Drosophila melanogaster: one gene and its partners. The protein of the gene in region 3 purifies or fractionates together with the protein of the main gene of each other region. This does not show direct contact. Each region holds a gene or a part of one and is shown on either strand. Other genes may lie near its edges.

Region 1 (4,601 bases), on a different chromosome or scaffold from region 3:
TGCATTCAGATCCACTTTGCTAAGTCCATTGCCATGGATGATGGAAGGCGTTGTCATGAAATCCACGTTCTGTAGAACGCCCTGATTGCTCTCGAGATCCACTTTAAGCTTCACATCGTTCTTGGCACCATGTAGGTTTTGGAATAGGCGCGATTGTACGTCCAGCTTTAAGCCCAGCTTGGCGCGTTTGGTCTCGTCAAGGAAGATCTTTGTAAAATATAGCTGATCGTCGGCAGTGTCTTCAATTGGATCCACCAGCAGAGCGAAAACTTGTGGTGCATAACCAATGAACGCGCCCGAGTTGAGGAATCTGGAGGCCTTGCCCTCCACTTCGGGATAGTCATTGGCCAGACTTTTGTCGGGCCAGCAGTATTTCTCGGCGGAGAAGAGTATCTTGGCACCAGACTCCTTGAATTTCTCAAAGATCTCATCCAGCGTGGTGGTGATAATCACATCGTAGCTAAAAAGTACACCTTAATTATTAACAACTCCTTTGGATTTTTCATTGAATTTCAAACCTGTCTGTGAAGAGTATGATTGTTTCGGGTTCATTTTTATACGGAGCAATAGCTTCGCGCAGAAGGTTGAGCTTAAATCCGCCGCCAGGCTTTTGCATATCTCCTCCTTTCCATTCCTCTCCCAAGCCAAGGGTGGTTACCTTTAAAGATTAAATATTATTTTAAATGCTAACCAGTGATCTGATGCGTATATCTTTATCACTGACAACAAACTGGACTAACAAGCTACCTAAATCTATATATTTGTTTAATCTACAAGCTCATATTATATAAAACATATACAAAGCAACCAAAAATATGACACAAAATTTAAAAGAAATCATATCTTTTCCATTAAAGGAAACCAAATCACAAATTTCATTCATTTAGCAACGCTGCGGTATTAAATATCTTGGGTCGCACAGTTCTTTAAATACAAAAAAAAAATGTACATATATAGAAATTCAAAGCAAAGGGGGAGAGATCAGGTTCAATCCATGAAAAAAAGCCGGCTAAGCGAGCTTATCAGCACATTTTATTGTCGTGCATATATATTTTTGAACAACAAAATTTCTAAGCCGGCCGACAATACAAAAAGTGTCACCGATAAGCGAAATCTCCCATCGACTTGGTGTAGAAAGTTCTAAGCTATCAATGAATCGGGAACCCAATCCCAATGTATTGTGCTAATTACCCCCGGCGACTGCACCGAATCTCCTTGGCGTACGTGATTTCAACATGTGTGCACTATATGTTGACTACATGTTGTCGTTGCCCCCACAATGTCCAGCAGCCAATCTCGGTGTTCCACATCAGAAAATCGGACGCCAACGCCGGATGCTCGGGTAGCGGCGAATAGGCACAGATATATATAGCTACTATATTATATGCTAACCAGACATTTTAATAATACAATGTTGCCTAAGTGTGCCAAGCCGCCGGGCAAGTCTTGATTCATTTAAGACAATACAATACATACTCACATCGTCCAGTTCTAATCTGTCATAAATGCTATGTTCTAGCTTATATACCAGTTTTTATGAAAATTCTATTGTCTGAGAGTGTCGTCAAATTAGAAATTCATCAATAAAAACAATCAAAACTCATTTGCATATGAAGAGTTGTTCGCAGATGTTCTATTAAACATAAAAGTTGGCCAATTTTGTTCAGGCAGAAGTATATGCATAACTGTATTTAATGTTCTCTAATTTTTATCCCAGATGGTAGAATGTCTTTCTTGATGAACTGTCAAGTTTCAAAGTTCCAACCGCTTTATAATTCTTTTTCCGCTAACCATAATACCTAACTATAGCAGCTCATAGATATTAGATAGACAGTGTGAAACAATTTCTTGTCTCGACTTTAAAATGCTCTAATTAATACGAATCCTCACCTCAATATCGTAGACTCGTGCAGATCGAATATATCTAGTATAGCCATCGGTGGGTTCAGTGGCCACAGTGAACACTTTGATTTTGTCTGTAAATTAACATATATATGAATCAATAGTAAAGATTAATAGAAAGTAAGTCATTACTTTTGGATTATTTTTAATTAATGTAATTTAACATAAATTTAATAGTTTCTTATATTGCTCGTTGAACTTGCGTAAGCTCTACTGTATTCTAGTTTTGGGTTCTAATTAGAATACAACAAAATGATATTGTATTGTCTGAAGTCATTAAATTATAACGAATACATGTTAGACAACAAGTTCGGCTTGTTTAAAGCAGTTTAATTTCTGAATGTGTAAACGAATTTGCTGTTTGAGAACCATTTTGTATCTTTCATCTCAGATGCAGATGCATCTGAACACTTGAATCTGCATCTGCTCCGTTTTCCGAGCAATTCCAGAGTAAACGACCGCAGCATCAAAGCGAAACGAAAACAAAAGCAAATTAAAAGGCAAGGAGAGATGTGGTCGGGTGGTATATGGATCATAAACAAATTCTCTGAGATATGTACTGCACATACACAGAAAAAAGTAAGGGGAAACTACATTTCGGACTTTTTATGTTTTGAACGAGAAAAGGATGTTCTAGTTTCTTATCAAGAATGATAAGAAAAAACCAACCGCATCACATCCCTTTTTATCTCTGTGCATTTGTGTAATAAGTACGGCAGTGGAATGCACTTAAGATCGAAAAATATGAAAACATGAATGCAATATAATTTTCTATGGCTGCTGATGAACTCATTCTAGTTAGAAATTAAGAACAAACCATTCCAATTGGACTCGGCATCTCCTTGCGACGTCACGGCCAGCAGCAACAACAACAAGGCGCTTTGTTGTATTCTCATGATGCTGGAGCTAGTTGCTCTCTCTCTCTCTTACTCGCACACACAGTGAAGCACTCGCTATCGGTGGTTAAAAATTGTTATAGTGAACAGTACTTTATACTAGTTGCATTTTTTTGTGCTAAATGCTAAGGAAATCAAAACACCTTCCGCTCCACAAAATATCGGGAGTCCCACCCGCAAGAAACTCAGAAACGCGAATAACAAATGTGTGGCTGCGGCTAAGCCGTTAGAAAATATCGCCTGAAAAAAAGGGCCTAAAAAATCCACTAGTCCCAAGTCAGCTGTTGTGAAATAAGGCTTTCACACCTCTTTTTTTTTTAAATGTGTCTAGACTAAATAAAAAATAAAGTTAACAAGTTATTTTTTAAGTTAAAAAATAAAAAGTACTTCACACCGAAATTTAAATGTCAGCTAGTGTGAAATATTGCTTACAAAATGTTTTGTATTTGATGTTTCTATACTAAATTAAATATGTAAATATAATTTAAATGAATCTTTTTCCACAATTTTAATTTGTTAGTAATCTTAGTTTAAATTAAAAATATCTAATATTAAAAAATATTCCATACTTGCGAAAACCAATCTAAATGGAAAATACATCTGTTTCTTCGCCGAACTACTTTAAATTTATTTAGGAAAATATTCAGCGCGTACTGTTTTTAAATGTGGGTGTTGTTCCTAGGGTAAGTTCACATAATGTAGTATGTGGCGTGTTTATGTGTGTGTTTATGTACAATTAACTGGGCTAAAGAAGGGAAACAAAATCGCGTGTCCGTTCGGTCTGCTCGCTTCGCCGTCGCACCATATAAATTGAGCACATATATTGGGTATGTATATATTGTCTCATTGAACAGGTCGTATCAAAAATAAATGGCAGAACCCAAAACGAACTCAAACCGATCAAAGTCTTCGAAATCTTCTTCCCAGAGAGGTGGTGGTATCAGTTCCAGATGACAGACTTGCACTTGCAGTTTGGACCATAGTCTACAGCATGCCGAAGCCCTTCGAGTAGTTGATGGCCTTCATCAGGCGCTCCTCCAGCTTCTCGCGGCTGCTGTACTCGGGCAGGAGGAGAACGTTGAAGCAGGTGTGCGAGGTAGGCAACCGATCGCTATCCGGACCGTGACGCGTGATTAGCAGACGCAGGCATTTCAGGCCGCCAACCGGAACACGCGCCGATCCCGTCGTGAATTCGAGCAGCTTGTGCTTGTCCTCGCTGGGCATCGCATGCACTATGCTCCAGAAGTCCTGGATGTACTGGCTCTTCTCCGTGTAGCCGCCCTCGTACACAGTGGAGTTTTCCAGTTCCACAAAGTCGAATTCCTGCCGAAGGTTTCAGAGTTCAGCAACCGAATGAATTTCGTAATTTGAATTTAGCTACTCACACGACTGCCGCAGACCAGCATTTCAATCTCCTCTGGACGGAAGAGCAGCTTCAGTGGCGATTCGTCCGTAACCATTTCGAAGCCCTTGCGGAAAGCATTGAACTGCTGTTCGATATTCGTGTTAAGCAGGAAATCACTGTACAGGTTGACAAACAGTTCCTTGTTGTGCTGCCCCACCAGTACATCCTGGCCGTTCGGCACCAGTTCGTGTTGTACCACATCACCGAAAACATCGCTATAGCTAATCTTGAAGGTCTGTTCGAATACCTCCTCCATATCCTGGCCCTGATAGTCCAGCATGGACTTCAGACTCTTGTACAGCGCCGGACTCCAGTCGCTGAGGTCTGCGAACGTGCCGCAATAGCCTATCAACTTGCGATAGACCACCATGGGGAAGTTTACGGCCAGGGTGACGTTG
Region 2 (3,476 bases), 7.6 Mb from region 3:
CCAAGTTATTCTGCGCTTGCTTGGCCCGGCTCCTTGGGGCAAATTGATTTTGCTTCGTGCCTCATCAGCAGCGACAATTGCCCTTGCCCTGATCGCCATGATGATTGGGCTTCCTGCGCTTCTTGGGCACTTCTTCGTGCGCTCACGTAGCAGCTACCCCTCTCGCCCCTCTTTCCAGCGCTTACCCTTTTCCCTGACCCTGACCCCCCTTGACATCCTGGCCCGCCGCCTCTGGTGGCTGCTGCTGTTGTCCCTCGACCGGCTACCGATGTTTTTTGCGGTTTCACACTTTGGTTAAGGTTCCTGCCCTTCGCACTCGGACTTCCACTCGCGGTCAGCCGCCAGTCATTGGGTCACAGCCCGCAGAAGGAAGATGGCCCAAAGTGCCTATTCGTCAAATAAAGTCGACCTCAATACGAATTGCTAAATAATATGAGTGTATGAGTAGGTTCTTATTTGGATTTTTAACCAAACACAAAGTATACAAAGCAATAAACCAATCGCCTATGGAACTATTCTGGCTAGCATTCCATTTAATTATTCCAAAAATTAATTACATAAGAAAGATCTTATACATACTAAAAAATATGTTTCTCGTTTAAAGAAATTTATCATTCACTGTTCAAAAGAAAACTGAAAAACTTAAAAAGCAAATGCCTTACAAAATGGTCAGTTTGCTACGTACGAAACCAATCGGTATTTAGCTTAGAAAGATTGTTTATGATTATTGGATATCAGAGTTATCTTACAAAATACGAAATTTAATGAACAGCTTGTGGGGGGAGGGGTGAAAGGACAAAGAGGGTTGACAATTGTTTTACTTAAACTATTACAAAAAAAGAGCGCGGCTGAAACTTGAGAGCGAGTCCCAGATGCTGCCTACTTAATGTACTTGTCCATGAACTTCTTGTGGAAATCGGAGCGCAGGGCGTCATTGACGAAGTGCGTCTTCTTATCGGGCGCAGATCTGGCGCAATTCTTAAAGACCACATCATCGTCCCAGCGGCGCTTTATCTTTAGATCACCGCCCAGTCCAGAGGCACGTCCCGCTGCCGAGGCGGCGGTGCCGGGCTCATAGTTCATCAGTGGATTGCCGGACAGGATGTTCTCCATGCGTATGCGTTCGTCCTCCTGCTTCTTTTCCGACTCGCGACGCGCCGTCTCCTGCAGACGTTCCTGCTTGATCTTCTGCAGCTCGGCCAGCAGGGCGGCATCATCGTCATCGGAATCGCTGTCCGAATCGGAGCTATCGTTGTCCAGCGGCTCATCGGCGTCCATATTGGCGGCCTGCTGCTGAGCCGCCTGCTGCGCTTGCTGCTGCCCTGCGTCCGGCTTGGAACGCTTTGCGGCACTGCTGCCACCGCCGGCGTTGTTCGCCTCAATCGCCTTGCGTACAATGGAGGGCAGTGCCTTGCCCGACGACGACGAAGTGGCTCCCGTTCCGGAGCGCGCCTCACGTTCGCGCTCCTCCAGCTCCTTGCGGAAGTCACGGTTGCGGTTCTCATCGCTGGTGCCCTGGCCAGTCTCCCTGCGCAAACACAAGTTCTCGTTAGACAAGGAAATTGTTATGTGGGCTACTATTAATCCTTACCTGTATTTCAGTTTCGTGTGGCCTGGCAAATCGCGACTGGAGTACTGCTTGCTCAGTGCACTCAGATCCTTTTCGCCGCGACCGGATCCTCCGCGGGCTGGATCGAAGGTCGGACGCGCTGCTGTGGTCATTTTCAACTAGCTAGTTATGCGTTTAATTGTTAAATTGATGAAAAGTGAAATGAATTTCCGAACTGCGTGCTTTGTTTGATGTATCAACAGTACCAATAATCGAGCCGTACCACGGTCACACTGACCGATAGGCCTTTCGATACACGCTTAGTGCGGACTTTAACCGTGATAAGGGCGGCTATTGCTGGGCATCACTGGAACATCAGCTGTGCGCACCAATGGGCAGCATTGTTACGGTAAACACGCGCGGAGCACCGCCGTTTTATCCGACAAACAAAAAAACGCTGAAAAACAAAACTTTTCGGCAACTTGAAGCGATTTTAAGTTTAGTTTAGCCAACCCCCTGCTATCCATCCCCCACCGACGGCCATGCTGGCCAATTTGCGCGCCTGCAGCGGCCACCTGTTGCATCACAGCCTCCGAAATGCAAGAATTCCACGACGAAGCTGGGCGAGCACGACTGCTGGCAAGGATCAGCCGGAGGAGGACAGCCTGACCATCGGCGATGTGAGCGTGCGGCTGCGCAAGCCCAAGGATCCGCAACTGGTGCCGCAGCAATACGGTGAGCAGGGGGATGCCGGGAAGTGGGAAGCCAAGATCTCTGGACAGTGCAAAGGTCAACATAAAGATCTTGGTGCCGCAGAATTATTTCATCATTATCATTATATCATGTCATTATATCATCTTTGAGTAGCAGACACATCAAGGATTAAAGAGACCACGGATCTAAAGCGAAGGAATGAATGTAAAACTCATGGTCATCGAGAAAAGACCACTATAATCTCAAGAAAATTCCTATGTGAAAACAAGCTACATGCTATATTTCATAATTGGCCAAATCGACAAATTATATGAGGCACAAGCTATCCGAACTCGAGACTTAATAAACTCTGTATTTGGAGGACCAAATGATTTATGTTTTAACACGAACCTTTCGTTCTTGTATCCATCCAATCCGATAGTGAAATACGCATCGGATGGCACCCTTCAGCTGTCGCAATCAGCACTGCACCACCTGCGCTGGATGCTGCAGAAGGATGCACTGCGTCAGGACATGTTTCTACTGGGGCAACCGGGTCCGCTGCGCCGCCAGCTGGCCATGCAGTTCCTGGAGCTGACGCAGCGCGAGGTGGAGTACGTGGCCCTCAGCAGAGACACCACCGAGAGCGATCTGAAGCAGCGACGTGAAATCAACGACAGGGCGGCCATCTTCCACGATCAGGGAGCCGTACGAGCGGCGCTCAATGGCCGAGTTCTTGTCCTCGATGGAGTGGAGCACGCGGAACGCAATGTCCTGCCCATACTAAACAATCTGCTGGAGAATCGCGAGATGCACCTGGAGAGCGGCAAGTTCCTGATGTCGCCGGAGCGTTACGATAAACTTCTAGAGGTATGTTAGCTGTTTCCTGTGTGCACGTTCCTAGTCCTCTGAAGCTTGCTAATCCTCATTCTCATTTGTTTTAGAAACACTCGCGGGAGCAGCTGGACGAATGGGGTCTGCTACGCGTATCGGAGCAATTCCGGGTGGTAGCCTTGGGTCTGCCCACCCACAAGTACAAGGGCACGCCACTGGATCCACCGCTGCGCTCCCGCTTCCAGTCCCGCAACGTGACCACATATTCGTACGGCGAGCTGTACGAGGAACTGCAGCAGGAGGCGCCTTCTGTGCCCGGCGAGCAGCTGAAGCAGTTGCTCACCTTCGCCTTGACCCTGCAGCAGGCGGATCCTGTGCTCCAACTGCCCGACTTTCCCAT
Region 3 (3,814 bases):
GACCTGGTCAAGTCGTGCATACAGAATCTGGTCTACTACGGGGTCGTTCAGCTGCTGCCAATCCTGAAGTACAGCAACGTGTACATGACGCAGAACCTAAAGCATCTCATCCAGAGCGCATCACTGAGCGGCGCATGCCGGAAATACGTGGCCTTGCGTCCGGACAAGACGCTGCCCAGTGTTCAGCGCATCTTTCAGTTCTACGCCTCGATGACTCACGGCGTTACTCTGCGAGCGATCTGCCAGAGATTGTGCCCCCAGCACCACAACATCGATGAGCGTCGCATGGTGATCTTCGGGCTGCAGCACCGATTCATTCGCTGCATCCACAAGTACCCGGTGTTTACGGGCTCAGTGCCTTCCGGGCGGCAGAAGATGTACACCGGGCTGATCAGCTTTGACGAGATCTGCTGCAAGACGGGCCTCTCGCCCTGCACCATCGAGCGGGATATCGAGAAGGACACGAATGTGACTGTGATCTGGAAGTGACGACCGGAAGGACTTCTCCGGCCAGTTGGGTTTGTTGTAGTTTGTAAGCGAACCGATTGTTATGTTTCCAAATGCTTTTTTATATACGCGCATATACACATTAAAGTTTAAGAATTCACTGGTTTGGCTTGGGCTGGTTCCGGAATCGCTTTGCCAGCTGGACAGCAATCAGGAATCCTTTGCGCTAGAGATAATGCAATCCTGAACCGCCTGGGCCACACAGGCGTCCTCCGAGGCCATGCCTTAAATAGGAAATGTATGAAATTTTTAATGATACAACTTTGAAACAGACAGAGATAGTCATATAGTTACACAAACTTAATAAAAACGCACCCATGGATTGAAAGATGCTGATTTCTAGCTCCTTGGGATAGTTTCCATCCAGAATGATCTGACCCACTTCAGCGGTGATCGGCGCAGGTAATCCCACCAATTCAGCCTCGGCATTGGCATAGCAATCCACGTAGACCTTGGCCTGCTGGTAAATCTTTGGAGCCACCTCCGAAAAGTGAACTTCGCCGGCTCCCACAGCTGAAATCGAAAGTTATAAAGGGTAGGTCATCATCATCCATCCAGCATTCCATTATAACAGCAGACCTACCGTTAATATGAACAGCCCGTTTGGATTTCAGATCTGCCAACTGGATAAGCGGCTCCTTGGAGTACGTGGCGATGCAGATGATATCGGCATCCTGGCAAGCTTCGTGAGGACTTGGACATACAGTAATCTGGGTTCCGCTCTCGGTGTTCAATTTCTGCCGCAGTTGGTCCGCTAAACCCAGTGCCTTTGCCTGCGTGCGATTGTAAAGATTAAGCTGCCTCACCCGGAAGTTCGCGCAGAAAGCGGCAGCATGGAGTTGTCCTTGAACTCCACAGCCCACGATGGCCACGTTGATATTCCTTTCCTGCTCCGCCTGCGCCCCAAAGCGCCTGAAGTACAGATACTTGGTGGCCACCAGTGAAGCGGATACAGTGCGCCAGGTGGTCAAGTCCGTGCCCTCCATTATGGCCGACAGTTGACCGGTTTGATTGTCGAACAGCAGCACATGGGCATGGATGCTGGGCAGCGGAGGATCCCGTCGGGGATTCCCACTGAACGAGGTCACCAACTTGCAGGCCAGTGTTGAGTGGGTGTGCTCCACTTCCCCAGGATCCCTTGACGATTCCAGCCTGTAGTTGCCCACATAGGCGGGCATGGTGAGCAGAACCTTGCCAGGTTCCTTGCCGCATGGAATAAAAGTCCTCTTCGGTTGAAAGGCAAAGGATGTGGAGGGCGTTTCCGGATTCTGCTTAACTATAGCTACAAGTGCAGATTCCACTGCCTTATTGACCAGCGGCCAGGTGAGAACCTGACGCACAGCATCCGCATTGTAGTAAGCTGGCGTAGAGCTGCTCATATTGGCAATGAAATGGTTTTAAAACAAAGTAATTCTTGCAAATTAAAATATTCTAATTATAATTGGAATGCAACTTAGTATCTTACTAACGATCAAAGAATGCACTGACCAGGGATGCCAGGTTTTAGGAATATTGTTGTGGAAATAACTATATTAAGCAATGTTTTAATTTCTGATAATATATATTAGAAATATATTAAGCTTAAATACTGTGACTGTACTCTATCAATTTTGAAAATTGGACTCATTGTACATTTTTGTCTTACAAAAGCTTATTTAGTTTGAAATCTTGGCAGCACTGTTGACTTAAACTTAAAAATTAACTAAAAAATACCGTTACTATCATTTAAACACCTATCGAAATCAACAGTCGATAACTTTGATGATGCAAAGCGTTGAAATTTTAAATTGAAAGATCAAGGTGATCATTATTTGATAATATTCAACGTATTGAAGAAAAAACAATGACGTTCGGTTTAAATCAGGAAAGACCATTATCTGAAGTGGGAAAAACCACCAACCGAAAACCAATTTTCACGGGCGACTGTTTTTCCTCATTTCTAATGCAGTTTTCCCCATTCTTCGGCATCGCTGGGAAAATGCATTTTCACCGCACGCCAAGGGCGAAACCGCAGCGCTCAAAAAGGGAAACCGCTTCTGTCAACGGCTTTATCGCCCCGAAACGATTCTCGCAAACAGCTGGAAACTGAACCACAGCCCACACAACCCGTCCACTCCACTCCACTCCAATCCAATCCCACCCAGACCAATCCAATTCGGAGCCGCAGCAGGCGACACGAAAGTGAAAAGCGAATGCACTTTTCCGAGGCTGCAGCTGATAGGGAAATTAATTTATGCGCCGCCATTGTCTTTCTGGTCGCGCCATTTTATTTTCCCAGCTGCTAATTCAAATTTTGACATAATTTCTTCACTGTGCGCCTCCGTCGCATGCTTTCTCGCCTTTTTCCCAACCAATTTCACTTGACTTGACCTTTGCGCGGCAATTTCATGGGTTTCCATGCACTGGGCGAAAAGTACCGCCCTTCCTAATGTAGAATTCTTCTAAATGGCTACTGATTATGTCATTCATGCAAACGGCTAGGATTTACAGTGCACAGTGAGAAATTGGGAGAGTATTTCATGATTTTATATAAGAAGAATAGCATTGTGTTGAATTATGATACTTTTAAACCACCTTAAGTCACCCAATGTCTAGAAATATTTTTGATTTTATTAAAGTCACCCAATGTCTAGGAATATTTTTGATTTTATTAACATTGAAAATTAAACATTACAAACTTACCACTCAGCATATGGAATCTTGTTTCCAGCTTGTTTTTCGGCCTTTCACGATATGAACAGGATGAGCTCTACTTTTTTTTCGAGTGCATGGGCCTGTGTGTAGGGTGGGTCTGCAGCCTTTTGTTGTTGTTGTTGCAGGCTGATTTATATTCGCCCCCAAGTGCCACAAATCAAAGTCGAGCTGCTGCTGCTGACTCATTGGAGCGGCTCCTGGTTTATCGCGGTGACCTGTTGCATGCCCCACTCCTGGAGACACGGCGGTGGCACCACCAGAACTAATAGAACCAACAGAACTTGCAGAACCACCAGCAGCAGCACTTCTGATTGTTCTGACCTTGCTGCCGGGTAAGTGGTTGGCCATAAATTTTGGCATTGCGCAAAAGCCACACCGGCAGCTAAAAACAAAAAAAAAAAACGCCCCGATTCTGAGCTGGATTCCAATTCCAAATCCAATCACAAGAATCCATATCCGAAAAGTGAATTGTCGCCCTGACGCTTTGAATAAATTGCTAAACGATTGGGCAAGCGCCAAAACTTAATGGCCAAAAAGGATTTCGCCTCGTTGCGCATAAATTTGCGGGCCAAAATCAATGACGAATTTATTGGCCAACTACGTAAAAATAGTT
Region 4 (3,525 bases), on a different chromosome or scaffold from region 3:
GCCCCCTCAGCCATCGGCTTGCAGCAGATGTCGCAGGTCCCCCGGATAATTAATGCACTATGGCTGTTGCTTTTTACGCTGCCACATTTGTTGCCCGGACGCTGCAAGTTGCCTCTTTTTGTTGGCCCATGAAATTAGATACACTTTGTCGAGCAGCATTTTTGTTGTGTAAACACGAATTTGGGGAACTCGAAAAAGAAAAGGGGGAAATTGTTTCCTAAACGAAAGTTAATTAGTTATTAGGGGGAACTGGCACTGTCGGTGCTAATGAGTTGGAAAAGCATTTTACACGGAGCACGCGTGGCTGCCACTTCAAATTCAAGTCTCAATTCGAGAAAGAATAGGGATTCATTCTAATGGCTACAAGGAGTAGAATATCTAAACCCATTGGTTAATAAATTACGGTTTCCTAAGTTTAAAAAGAGATCTTCACCCTCATGCCATTGTATACAGCAAATAATGCTGAGACTTTAATTTTAAAAACTCATCTGAAAAACTTTAATATTGCGTTTCCTTAAACTCTTTTTTTAATGCCTATAAGATCCAACTGAAACCCTCAAGATTTTCTCTATTGGGATTAATTTAAAGCACTTAGGAATCTAGAGTATATAGCCCAAATCCCGGAAAGCCAGCGTCTGAGCCGATCTCTGAAACTACAAGTCTAGTCTGCGCCCGGCGTTAGGCAAACAAGATGGCAACAATACGCTGGTACTTGAGATTTCATTGTTGGCCAATGCAAATATATTGGTCGCGAGGAGAATGCAACAAAGCGTGGCAAAGAAAGGTCGCCGTGTCGCCGGGGCCAAGCCATAAAACGGATGCACCGGCACCGACCCAGGTTGTCTGGGTTCCGAAATCGACCTGTACCATCCAACAGCCAACCCTACTAAGCTGGGGTTTTAAACTAGAGCAGAACAAACCCACCACCAAGATGAGGCTCAACAGCAGGAAGATTGGCCAACGGACAACAAAGGCCGTGAAAGCAGTTTATGCAAATGGGCTCACATGTGGGCTGGAAAATGCATACTTTGCATATGAGGAAGGGCGACCCTTTTGGGCTGGCACAATTAACAAAGCGTGTAATTTCTCAAACCTATCGCGTGAACAATGGCACAAACAATTAGAGGATAATGAAAATCACCCACATAAGCAGGTCCACTACAGTTCTCACCGGATGGGTTTGGTGCATATGTATATGATCATATGGGCAAATCTGTGGATCAGTTCGAAAATACACGAAGGGGAACAATCATAACCGGAGCACAATGGCCGTCGTCAAGTACGCACATCCTTTATAAAGGTCCGTTCACATTGTCCTGGCATTGTTTACAACTCTATTGAGTGCAAAATGCAGCGGCATTGTTAACGGCTAGATATTTGCATACTTGTCTTGTCTTCCAAGACAAACCACAAAATCAAATTCAAATAATTACGCGCCATTTAACGAGGGAGTTGCGAAGCTCGACGAAGTACTTTCCATATGCCCGCTTTTCCATTAGGGTATGTTCTATGTACTGTATTTTTAATAAGAAATGTAGTACATTTTACAGTCTAACCAGCAAAATTTCTAAATTGTTTAATAAGATTAAGGGCGAGTGTGGAATATAAAAATAATATCCTTTTTTATAATTCTCATTCAATGTATTGTTTTTCTAGAAAAAATGTTCATTAATATTTATTTATTATTATAAACATTTAATTTTTATCAGGACTGTGAACAGAACAAAAATAAAAGCGAAAATTATATCGTGTAGATAAGCCCTTTGGGGAGTGACAGGTGAATAGCTAGCTCGGCAGCCCTGGTAGTGGTTGTCATTTTGACTTTTGCGCCATTCGGATAAAACAGATTTGCAAGTGAAACATTTAACGATAATAAGCATAAGAATGAGCTCTCTTGTTGATACCAGTCACTCGGATATCGATGACAATGACTCCTTCCACTCGTTCGACCAAAGCGAAGATATCATGGACAACCTTAGCCTCTCGCTCTCGGAGAGCGACTGCGACAGCGCCGCGGACTTTGATTCCGGCTCGGCGGATGAGATTTCCATGGAAAAAAAAATGGCAAGTAGAATAGATTTTTATGTGGCCCATAGTGTAAGATAATTTCCCGTAGGTTGGTGCACCCGCCCAGCTGGGCCAGGGCGCAGGAAATACTTTGAAGCCCACGCCTTCCGACGTCTTCGTAAAGCCAAAGTCGCCCGTTTTGGAGGTCCATTCCAGCGACTCATCCACCTGCGATGGCGTCTCCGCTGGCAAGCCCACACAGGTTGCGGGCTGTTTCAAGTCTCCCAAGAAGTTTACCGTTTCGCCGATCAGTGAGCAGAAGCAGAGACCAGTGCCCTTGTGTCCCAGAGATGTTCCGGGACTTTCCTCGAGCCAGATACCATGCATAAAACACTTTGACCTTGACCACTCAGTAACAGTCCGAAAAGAGCACCTGATCTCCAATCCCGAAACGGAGGCCTTACAAAAACACGCCTTCACCGAAATTTGGATCGATTCGCAGCAGAAACCTTGCCAGGCCAAGGTTTCTCGCTTGCAGCAGTTTTCTATGGCCCTGGAGGCCTATTTTGACCAGGATTCTGACAAGAAGGATCCGGAGCCAGCAAAAGTATGTTTAAAGTTTAAATTAAATTATTTTCTTTAAACGATATCTTTCAGACCATCACGCCTGCTCCGAAAAGTGACAAACCCGTGGAGAAGGTGGTGTATGTGTCTCCCTTTCCGGACATTCCCATACCACCATCAGCTCGAAAAGAAACTCGCATGTTGAGCGGAGTTAAGCCACCCAATATAGTGCCAGCTGGCTTTGATTTGACCCGATTGATTGAGTACAATAATCCCAATCACTGGCACCGTCGTCCCCACATGCGCACTGGCGATAGCATATAAACTTGATTAGCACAACATCTTGATCAACATTGTTATTTTCGTAATCACCACACTCAACTGACCGATTGGACGTTCTTTTTGTAAAACTGATATCTTTCTGCAATAAAGGATTCCGAACTACCAAAGCAATTAGAGCGCCAAACATATGCGACTGTCAAACTCCGGCAAAGACATAATATCGCCAGCGTTGAATGGGAACGTCGTCGCCGGCTCCAAATGATTTCATTGTGCTGCCGATAAAATTGTCGCCAGCGAAATATGTTGCCCGTGACTTTGATTTTGGCCGCCGCAACATTAATTTCCAAGGAAATTACACATGCCCGCTGAAGGGGATGGCTTGGCTTATCTGCGCTGGCAGATCGCCGAGTGAGCCCGGGTCGGAGCTCATTTGCCGCTGACATGCGAACGTTTGCTTTGCTCCGGCCCCAAACATGGACTCTCTCTTCTCGGCTCCAGCCAGCGGATGCCCCCAAATGAGAATTCAATAAATTTCAGGTAAAGGTAAGGGCAACAACAACAGCAGCAGGCAACAACACAATGGGCCAAACGTTGTCGTTAGTCTTTTGGCGACGTTTAACATGAATATGCAGTGTGGCTAATGTGGAGCCCATAAACACTTCCAGCGGCAAC

The links.
Region 1: the proteins of CG4872 (region 3) and Plod purify together in Drosophila melanogaster (affinity purification with mass spectrometry, with the first as the bait; one large-scale study listed by BioGRID). This does not show direct contact.
Region 2: the proteins of CG4872 (region 3) and c12.1 purify together in Drosophila melanogaster (affinity purification with mass spectrometry, with the first as the bait; one large-scale study listed by BioGRID). This does not show direct contact.
Region 4: the proteins of CG4872 (region 3) and CG5194 purify together in Drosophila melanogaster (affinity purification with mass spectrometry, with the first as the bait; one large-scale study listed by BioGRID). This does not show direct contact.

What each region holds. Positions count from the first base shown.
Region 1 is NT_037436.4:11,203,015-11,207,615, forward strand, and holds the start of Plod (procollagen lysyl hydroxylase), read right to left. Parts: upstream 3,003-4,601; 5' UTR 2,942-3,002; exon of another isoform or gene 2,856-2,941; 5' UTR 2,799-2,855; coding exon 2,720-2,798; intron 1,977-2,719; coding exon 1,891-1,976; intron 659-1,890; coding exon 519-658; intron 461-518; coding exon 1-460. Other genes in the region: Ube3a (ubiquitin protein ligase E3A), read right to left, coding at 3,783-4,121, 4,184-4,601. UniProt on the Drosophila melanogaster protein: Forms hydroxylysine residues in collagen type IV. Required for the secretion of collagen type IV (vkg) from haemocytes, fat body and follicle cells.
Region 2 is NC_004354.4:9,317,401-9,320,876, forward strand, and holds c12.1 (c12.1), read right to left. Parts: upstream 1,824-3,476; 5' UTR 1,723-1,823; coding exon 1,592-1,722; intron 1,529-1,591; coding exon 880-1,528; 3' UTR 515-879; downstream 1-514. Other genes in the region: c12.2, read left to right, coding at 2,092-2,284, 2,417-2,467, 2,685-3,112, 3,187-3,476. UniProt on the Drosophila melanogaster protein: Involved in pre-mRNA splicing.
Region 3 is NC_004354.4:16,879,527-16,883,340, reverse strand, and holds CG4872 (uncharacterized protein), read right to left. Parts: upstream 1,995-3,814; 5' UTR 1,887-1,994; coding exon 1,091-1,886; intron 1,021-1,090; coding exon 823-1,020; exon of another isoform or gene 732-822; coding exon 658-731; 3' UTR 551-657; downstream 1-550. Other genes in the region: Nprl2 (nitrogen permease regulator-like 2), read left to right, coding at 1-489.
Region 4 is NT_037436.4:9,008,121-9,011,645, reverse strand, and holds CG5194 (uncharacterized protein), read left to right. Parts: upstream 1-1,807; 5' UTR 1,808-1,884; coding exon 1,885-2,064; intron 2,065-2,116; coding exon 2,117-2,614; intron 2,615-2,664; coding exon 2,665-2,895; 3' UTR 2,896-3,022; downstream 3,023-3,525.